Cricetulus griseus: one gene and its partner. The protein of the gene in region 2 purifies or fractionates together with the protein of the main gene of each other region. This does not show direct contact. Links are inferred from orthologs where the notes say so. Each region holds a gene or a part of one and is shown on either strand. Other genes may lie near its edges.

Evidence for each region.
Region 1: the proteins of Phrf1 (region 2) and Csnk2a2 purify together in Homo sapiens (affinity purification with mass spectrometry; 3 studies listed by BioGRID and IntAct, counting the BioPlex papers as one, with this or other methods). This does not show direct contact. The link is inferred for Cricetulus griseus from reciprocal best matches to the Homo sapiens genes PHRF1 and CSNK2A2.

The regions. Positions count from the first base shown.
Region 1 is NC_048596.1:171,639,692-171,644,715, reverse strand, and holds part of Csnk2a2 (casein kinase II subunit alpha'), read left to right. Parts: intron 1-186; coding exon 187-288; intron 289-938; coding exon 939-1,039; intron 1,040-2,336; coding exon 2,337-2,485; intron 2,486-4,830; coding exon 4,831-4,907; 3' UTR 4,908-4,924; exon of another isoform or gene 4,925-5,024.
Region 2 is NC_048596.1:59,929,242-59,934,265, reverse strand, and holds part of Phrf1 (PHD and RING finger domain-containing protein 1), read left to right. Parts: intron 1-1,705; coding exon 1,706-1,833; intron 1,834-3,211; coding exon 3,212-3,393; intron 3,394-3,482; coding exon 3,483-3,614; intron 3,615-4,030; coding exon 4,031-4,185; intron 4,186-4,719; coding exon 4,720-5,024.

The sequences.
Region 1 (5,024 bases), about 110 Mb from region 2:
AATTGCAGAGAGGCTGAGGATGGAACTTAGTAGTAGATGTTTGCCTAATGTGTATAAGGCTCTCTCAAAAGTCAGAGCTAGAGGTCAGATGTCAAAAGTCAGAGCTAGAGGTCAGATGGATATGAGAAACTTAATCAATGAGTGTCTAACTATCCTTGACTGATGGATCATCCTTCCTGCATTCAGATGTATGATTACAGCTTAGACATGTGGAGCTTGGGCTGCATGTTAGCGAGCATGATATTCCGAAAGGAGCCATTCTTCCATGGGCAGGACAACTATGACCAGGTGAGCAGATTCATCCCTTGCTTGTTTGTCATGAATGTTAGGGAAATAGCCTCTGGGGACTGTGTAAGCTAAAGGATTGTTCAGAATTGTATGAGTGAGCATGAGGGCCCCAAGCATGCCGAGACAGACAATGCTGCCTAGTGAACTTTCAAGATGGGTCTAAGAAGTAAGGCACTTCTTTATCTAACAAAATCACATTATAGTTATTTGATCAGTGTCCCCAAAGATGTTAGCATCTAAGTTATATCAACCCTTTAAAAGCAGTTTAGGGGGCTGGAGAGATGGCTCAGAGGTTAAGAGCACTGACTGATCTTCCAGAGGTCCTGAGTTCAATTTCCAGCAACCACATGGTGGCTCACAACCATCGGTTATGAGATCTGGTGCCCTCTTCTGGCCTGCAGGGATATATGCAGGCTGAACACTATATACATAATAATTTTTTTTTTTTTTTTTAAAGCAGTTTAGAAACTTGCATTCATGTGAGTGTTGTGTTCTTAAGTCTCTGTTTATCCTAGACTCGGGTCTCTGTTAAGTCATTTGGGATTTGAGTGGCATGGGATTTCCTGATTCCCAGGCCTAGCACAGTGTCCACAAAAGCTCACAGAAAGCACTGTGCTTGGTGGTTGGGTCAGTTTTGTTCTGTGTTTCAGCTTGTTCGAATTGCCAAGGTTCTGGGGACAGATGAGCTGTATGGATATCTGAAGAAGTACCACATAGACCTAGATCCACACTTCAATGATATCTTGGGACAGTAAGTAAGAAAGGAGAGGGAGGGAGGGAGAGAAGGAGAAAGGAAAGAAGGAAGCACTTTGCTCTACTTCAGAAGTGGTAAAGTTAGACAACATCCAGTTTCCCTTTTCTAACTTCAATATTGATATTTATTTACTTATTTATTGAATGAACCAGGGTCTCAGTGGCTATGTAGATCAGGGCTAGTTTTGAACTCACCGGGATCTACCTGCCTTGGCCTCCCAAATGGTACGACTCCTATTTATCAGTAGAAAATGGAAAATAAGCCTTGTGTAGATATGCATGTTTCTAATCACAACACTTGGGAGGCTGCAGCAGGAGAATCAAGAGTTTGATCCTGTGGAAGCAAATGGAAAATAAAGTCATAATGTTATAGAAAAAATGTTTATTTGGTCAAAGCTTGTGCTTTTTCAAAAGAAATTATTTCTTCTTGTTTTATATGTAAGCCTGTTTTACCTGTGTGCACATAATGTACTGTGTGTGTATGCTTAGCCAGAAAAGGGGTCCTCTGGAAGTAGAGTTACAGATAGTTAATAGCTACCATGTGGGTGCTGGGAACTGAACCTGGGTTCACTGGGAAAGCAGCCAGTGCTCTTAACTACTGAGCCATCTCCCTAGCCCTGCATATGCTTATTTTGATGGCAAATCTTAGAAAACGAGGCTTCTTCAAATAAGTGAATAGCTTATTTTCTGAAGTTTTATAATAAATATTAAGGCATGCTAAATTTTCAGGTACAGTACCTAGTTTCGTGACTTAGGTATTTTGGGGTGGGGATGGTCTTATTTGTTTGCTGTGTAGCCTCCTGGCCTCAACCTGAGTGCTCAATTATAGGTGTGTGCCACCATGTCCAGCCTCAGTGCAGTGTGTTAAAAGTAAATGTTTGGCTAGTGGTCTTCAGGCATTATTTTATGAAATTGCTTGTTTCTAAAGCCAACCTTCTAAATATATCTACTGACCAGTGCATCACTTAGTCACCGCCAGGCCTTACTCACGGTTGATTAAAAGACAGGCATAAGAGTAATCCAGAAAGATTGAACAATTCTCCCTCAGATATAGATATTTTCAATAGATTCTGCTCATCTAATAATTGAGCAGTTTTATGTCATGGTTATAACTGTGGGTGACAGTGTGTGTATACTAGCCCATTTGAAGTGGGCACCGATAAGAATGAGCTTCAGCTGTTGCACGAAGTGCAGTATTCTAAGGGTTTGTTTATGTTATGTCTATTAAAGGAGGGTTTATCTGGTTGTTTAGTCTCAGAATACTAATATTCACTTTGTTTGTTTTTGTTTTTTAGACATTCACGGAAGCGCTGGGAAAACTTTATCCATAGTGAAAACAGACACCTTGTCAGTCCTGAGGCCCTAGATCTTCTTGACAAGCTCCTGCGGTACGACCATCAACAGAGACTGACTGCCAAAGAGGCCATGGAGCACCCGTACTTCTGTGAGTTATTAAATGGCAAAAGATGTCACCTTTATCTTTGGGGTCAGACAGAAAACTAGGTATTTGGATTTAGATCAGCCTAGGAATTTGGCTTTAAATTTTATTCATTTTACTGGACCACTGAGGCCATTTTATGGGTGATTTGATTAGTTCTCGAAGGTGTTTGCTGTTCAATGTTAGTAGTACCTCTGAGGCCAGGCTGTATAACCCACTGTCATCACCCTGGGCTTGTATACTGAAAGGTATCTAAGATTTTTTTTTCAAGTGCAAAAACCTAATCAAAGATTATTTTTTCTCTTTTAAAAAAAATTTAGGGGGGGTGGAGGAGGAGGGATGGGGGTGAGGGAAAGGGAGAAGGGATTGACATATGAAACAAGCTTGTTTCTAATTTGAACCAATTAATAATAATAATAATAATAATAATAATAATAATAATATTTAGTTAAAAGTAGTAAGATCAGGTCGGGTGGTGGTGGCAGCACACACCTTTAATCCCAGCACTCAGGAGGCAGAGGCAGGCAGATCTCTGTGATTTTGAGGCCAGACTGGTCTACAGAGTGAGTTCCGGGACAGCCAGGGCTACACAGAGAAACCCTGTCTTGAAAAACAAAACAAAGTAGTAAGATCATTGCTTTTTTAATGTGATTCTAAAGGAAGCAACATGTAAGCAAGAGGAATTGCAGGTAAGCAGGTAGCAGGTATGGCAGCTGGATTCTGACCTGTGACATCTCTCGGAGCATATGTGTTCCTTCTGCACTTGCTTGTGTTTTGGGTCCATGTAGTGTTCTTCCCACTGAAAGTCTCCTAGACACATCACCCTTGTCATTGACAGAAGAGGGTGGCTTAGTCTAGTCATGGAAGAAGTTGAATGTGACTTATCTTCATTTCTGTTCCTTAAAGTTTTTGTCTGTTGTTTGACCACTTTTTCCTTTGGAGTTTACTAATTCCCAGTAATATTAACAGATAGGAAGGACTTATTGCCATGATCTTAAACTTTAGGCAGAAGTTTAAGGCAACAAAAAAATGTAAAGGGTCTTCTCATTTAGCCTTCTGGACCCTAAACAGCTGACATTCCATTGTTTGCTTTCTAATTTCCAACACAGAAAGCTGCTTTTATCCTTCAAGATAGGCCACTTTAGGATATTGGTGTTGCCCTGAGTGGTGGTCCACTCCTTTAAACCAAGTACTCAGAGGCAAAGTTAGTCAGATCTTTGTGAGTCTAAGGCCAGCTTGGGATACATAGTAAGACTGTATCTTAAAAACAACAACAACAACAAACAAACAAACAAAATAGCCAGGCGGTGGTGATGCATACCTTTAATTCCAGGATTGGGAAGGCAGAGGCAAGTGGATCCCTGAGTTCAAATTGTCCAGCCTGAACTACAGAGTGAGTTCCATGATAGCCTAGGCTACACAGAGAAACCCTGTCTCAAAAAACAAGCAAGCAAGCTAGCAAACAAACAAAACCAAAATAAAAAGCAGTACTGGTGTAAACTCATGAGGCAAATGTGTAAGGATTGCAAATTTAAGACCATCTAAGGTATATAGTTAGGCCCTGCCTCAGGAATAATAATAAAAACAACCTGATAGATATTTTAGATAATCATTGTTTGTTTACTTCCCTAAATAAACTCCATATTTCACTGCTGCTTAAAATGGCTGGGGTTTTGTTTGTTTGTTTTCTTTTTTCTTGGGGGGGGGGCGTGTCCCAGACAGGGTTTCTCTATGGCTTCGGAGGCTGTCCTGAAACTAGTTCTTGTAGATCCGCCTGCCTCTGCCTCCCAAGTGCTGGAACTAAAGGCCTGCGCCACCACCTCCCAGTTGTCAATGGCTTTTTTATTCACCCTTGTTTATGACATGCTAGGTATGATGTTGGTACTCAGAAATCACCAGAAATATTGTGAATTTTGAACAGTGGTGAGTTGGGGTCTCTGCTTTTTAGCAGTAGGGTCTGTATTCTAAGGAAGTAGAAAAAAATCAACTCTATATAATTCCTCAGTGGGCATGAGGGCCACCCTGGCCTATGCTGGAGGCTAAGGCTAAAGAAGAATGAGAGTTCAGTGCTAGTCTGAGCAACAAAAAAAATTTTCAGAAGGAGTTGAGGATGTGACTTAGTTGATTGCCTAGCATGTGTGAGACTGGGTTCTATTCCCTGCCTTGAGGGCAAAAAGAAAAGGAGTTCTTTCCTGGTCATGTCTTGGTGCCTGGTTCTTGTGTGGCCTGAGTTCCATGTAAGTGTCTGTCTTGGTGCATATAGAAGAGGAAAGGCAGGTTAGCCATGGCATTCCCACTACACCCTCAGTGCTGGTGCTGACATGGAGACCTGTGCTCCTCCTCTCTTGCAGACCCTGTGGTGAAGGAGCAGTCCCAGCCTTGTGCAGAGAACACCGTGCTTTCCAGTGGCCTCAGCGCAGCACGATGAAGCCTGGGGAATCGACGGTAATGCGGCACTGATGCTTGCCAATAAAACCAACCAACCAAACAAAAACTTGAAGGAAACTGCAGTGTGATAAAAAGAAATTCTAATCATTCCTTCTAA
Region 2 (5,024 bases):
TGAGTTCTAGGACAGCCTCCAAAGCTACACAGAGAAACCTGTGGGGGAGGGGCGGGGAGAGGATCCAAGCCAAGTCAGTGCTTGTAGCCCAGGCTGCAAACAAGTTGGTACATGTCTGTAATTCTAGTGTTCTGCAGGTGAAGGCAGGAGGATTAAGAGTTCAAGGTCATTTTACACTGCACAGTAAGAACATGTCGCAAAAAATGGTAGCAGATAGAGATGCTAGCTAACAAGCCTGATTTTAATCTCCAGATCCCACATGGTAGAAAGAAAGAACCAATTCCTTCAAATTGTCCTCTGACTTCTATAACACATGAACAAATAAAATTTTAAAGGTGGGGGGGGGTTGTGTTTGAAGGAAAATGGTCCCCAAAGGGAGTGGCACTATTAGGAGGTGTGGCCTTGCTGGAGAAGGTGTGGTCTTGTTGGAGGAAGTGTGTCACTATGGGGTTTGAGCTTTGAGGTCTCCTATGCTCAAGCTACTCCCAGTGAAACAGTCCACTTCCTGTTGCCTTCTGATCAAGGTGTAGCCAGCACCATGTCTGCCTGCACACAACCATACTTCCTGCCATGATGATAATGGACTAAACCTCTCAGACTGTAAGCTGCCTCCTCAATTTTAATGTTTTCCTTTGTAATAGTTACCATGGTCATGGTGTTTCTTCACAGCAATAGAAAACCTAACAAGACAAGGGTGCTGGGAAGATGGCTGAGTAAAGTTAAGAAAGAGCCCTTGTTGCTTTGCAGGAGATCTGAGATTGGTTCCCAGAATTCACATGACTGCTCATAACTGCCTGTTACTCCAGTTCTAGGGATCCAACGCCGTCTTCTGAGTGCCTGGGTATCACACGCATCTGTGCACATGCAGACAAAGCAGATGGACATACATAAAATGAAGAGAATCTTCCAAAATAACTTTTTTTAAGCAAGGCATGTACCGACATTGAGAAGCTAGGTAGAAGAATTGCCATGAATTCCAGACCAGCTACAGGCTGAGATAATTGTTAATGCAAAAGTAACTAGGGACTGGAGAGGTGGCTTTGCAGTTAAGGTCACTGACTGTTCTTCCAGAGAACTTGGGTTTAATTCCAGACCCACATGGCAGCTCACAACTTTCTATAACTCCATTTTCAGGAGACCCAATACCCTCACACAGACATACTCTCAGGTAAAACAACAATGCACATAAAATAAAAATAAATTAATTTAAAATCTTAAAAGAAAGGAAAAGAAGTCTTTGAAAGAAAACAGTAAATAAATTTAAGTTAAAAATAGAGAGCCACACATATAGTACTTGTGAAGCGGTGGTAGGAAGATTAAGAATTCAAGGTTATCTGTAAAATCGGGGCGCTAAGAAATGGCTCAACTGAAGAGAAGTGCTTGTTACTGTCCAAAAGGACCTGAGTTCAGTTCCCAGTACCCACATTGGACAGCTCATAGCTAACTATAACTCCAGTTCCAGGGGTTCTAAGGCCCACTTTACTCCTTCGTGGTCACCTACATTGTGTGCACACATGTGTGAACACACACACACACACACACTGTGTATTGTATGTAAAATTCAAGCCAGCACACAATCCTGAGGTGCCCAGATCCTCTCCCTAGCTTACTGGGCTTTCCCCCACCAGACCTGGAGGACCTGCTTACCTGGTCAGGAAGGGCCCTGCAGATACTGAATCATAGACATTGAATGTTGTCTTTTTAGGGAAACGGAAGAAAGTCCTGGGAAGAAAGAAAATCCGGTCCAGGTCATCTGTGAAAAGTAAGAGTGGGGGTACAAGAGCTAAGAAACGGCAGCACCGTGTGAGGAAGACAAAAGGGAGGAAGCTGAAGGTGGGCTATTTCAGTAGTGTCCAGTTTAACAGTCTAGCTCCCCTATATGGCTCTGCAGCAGGAAGCAACAGAATGGCTGTTTTTCTGTTGCTCTGTGGAACAGTTCAGAGGTGGGTGGGTATGTTTCTAGGTCCTTTGGGGTGGGGAGTTGTGTATGATGGCTGGAAGCTCATGCCTTTAATCCCAGTATTCAGGAGGCAGAGGCAGGTGGGTTTCTGTGAATTCAAGGAGTTCCAGGACAGGTTCCAAGGATACACAAGAGAAACCCTGTCTTGGAACACACACACACACACACACACACACACACACACACCCCACCCACCCCACCCCACCCACCCACCCCACCCCGCAAAAAGAAAAGTTATATATGATGACCCCTGAAATATAGAGGCAGAGAGGGAAGACTGCAAAGCTCAAGGGCCGAGTCACCTAGTAGTTCCTCGCTGGTGAGATCAAAAAGCTCTCACTCCTATTCTAGGGGCAGGTGTGGACAGACTGAGTTGAAGTCCTCAGAGCACATAGCCTGGACTTATTTCAGTTGCTGTGTCCTCACTCAGCCCTGCTGCCATGAGACAAATTTGGTAAAGACACAGGAAGCTGAGGAAAAAAAAAAAAAAAAACCCTTAGCCATGTGTTTCCTGTGTTTTTATGTGAATTTATGCTTGTTAGCCCATTGCCTGATAAATGTTCTGTAGAGTATGGTTGTATATAAAGACATGCATAGACAGTAGTTTGAACATGTGTTCTGTTTTTGTTTTGTTTTCCAGACAGGGTTTCTCTGTGGCTTTGGAGCCTATCCTGGAACTAGCTATTGTAGGCCAGGCTGGTCTCGAACTCACAGATCCACCTGCCTCTGCCTCCTGAGTGCTGGGATTAAAGGTGTGCGCCACCACCGCCCAGCTGAACATGTGTTCTGAAGAGTCAGAACAGATTCTTGTGGCTGTGACTAAATAGGAGAAAGTTAAGTAGATAGTGTTGGTCACTAGCCCTCACTTTGTGTCCTGAGGTGAGGGCCTGGCAATGTCGGTGCTTTCTTCCTAATTTTTAGGAAATTCTAGAATGTTGTAGATTCCATCCTGAGCTCACGTTCTTCATCTGCAATTACTGTGATTCCTTTTTCTCCCCTAATAGAACATCTGGGGCCATGCCCAAGGTAGAGGTATGGAAAGAATCACTCCTTGGGGAGAAGTCCTAGCTGAAGGTGGTGTTCTGTTCCACCCAAGCTCAGAATCTAGGGGAAGTGGCATGTGGCCCCTTGATTGTCTTAGGAATAGTTTACTGTTGTGATACTGTTAAAAGTTCACAACTGTTCTTGTGTGGCTGTTCATGTGCAGGATGCCAGTCATTTATTGAAATTTTATCTGTCACTTTAATTTAGAATGAAGTCACATCTCGTTCTCGCATCGCACGAACACTAGGCCTCCGCAGGCCTGTCCATGGCACCAGCATGCCCTCAGTGTACAAGCCAGTGGACCCCACTCTGGGGCTGATGAGGGCAGATATTGGAGCAGCTTCTCTGTCTCTGTTTGGAGATCCCTATGAGCTGGACCCCTTTGACAGGTAACTGCAGTGGTGACTCCCAGTGTCCCAGCTCATCCTCCGATTTGTTTAGGCTGCATGGGAACTGATAGAATGGTCTGTTTTGTCAGTGTTCCCTCCAGCAACGAGGAACCATCTGTAGATCCACCTTCCCCTCTAAGTGCTAAGAGGAGAGTGCTGTCCCGCTCAGCCCTGCAGTCTCACCAGCCTGTGGCCAGACCTGTCGCCATGGGGCTCTCTAGGTATGGTATGGGGCAGCAGAAGCATCTGGGGTGGGTAAGGACACTGAATTGCTTATCCTTTCTGTGTGCCCTGTAGTGAAGTGGCTGAGCAACTCCTCTTGCGGATGTGTTTGAGGTTGGCTCTGGGTGCTACCTCAAAGCTAGTTGTCTCAGAGTCAAGTAGCACAGCTACAGGCCACATTGGCCGCAGTCTCTGAGAGAGAAGGGGTCCTTGGGCAGGACAGGAGTCTTGGTTACCAACAGGTGGAGATACTCTCCTGCCCACTCTTGCTTAGTGGTAGAGTGGGCGACATACATTATAGGTGACTTTGGCACACACCTGGTGCCTTCGTGTCGGGGCTGGTGGGTAGGAATTCCAGCCAGAGGAATGCAGAGAGACTAAGCTAGCAGAACCACTCTCTGGTCTGTGTCTATAGGAGGCAGCTCCCTGCTGTGGCCCCAGAGCCCAGCGTGGAGGAGGCCCCAGTTCCTGACCTGTTGGGGAGCATCTTGTCCGGCCAGAGCCTCCTGATGATGAGCAGTGCTGACGTTGTTATCCACCGGGATGGCTCTCTCAGTGCCAAGAGGGCAGGTGAGCACCCATGGGCTTGCTGCCCTTCCTTATGGATTTGGAAATGTGAAATCACAGTCCTAGAAATGGATGAGTTGGACAGGCTCTCAGGCTTTGCCCTGAGTTGGGGACAACACTGTTAAAAGCATAACCATTGTGAGTTTCTGTCAGGGTCCTTCCATGCCTGAGTATAATTAGGTGAGTGTGGCATTTCCAGGACAGTTTTCACAGATACTTAGTGCCCAGTGCCCTATGAGCCAGCATGGTCAAGAGTGGGCAGTGCCTCCATCTGCAGCTTCTTGTCTGTGTCACACTAGATGGGACCCATTTGAAGATGGTCATGTCTGAAAAGAGAGAGACTACATGGCAGCGAGGGCATTTGTCTTCCCACAGGATGGGCAGAGGTACATCTGCCCATGTCACTCCCGTTGTGGGGTGGCAAGAAGTGTCCACTCTGGAAACAACAGTTTCAGTGTCACCTCTGATCTTATGTGACATATCATTGAACTTCTTACAGGAGGTGGGAAGGGTTGCTATCTGACTTCTGTTTTTTAGCTCCTGTTTCTCTTCAGCGAAATTCTGTGACTCAATCCAGAGAAGAGTTCAGGTCCAGAGACAACCTGCAGACTGGAGCACTACCCTCAGGGAGCACATCCAGTGGACTCATGGGAGACAGGCAACAGAGCTCAGGGCTGAGCTGTGGGGACAGAGCAGCCCTTCGCCATATCTCTGGCCGCACAGTGGAGACACCTGTAAGGTTGGACTCATTGGTGACCCCACGTTCAAGTCAGGCTGGGAACCTTTCAAATGAGAGTAGGCCTACTGTGAAACAGAATAACAGCCCTCGGCTTAATGGTTCC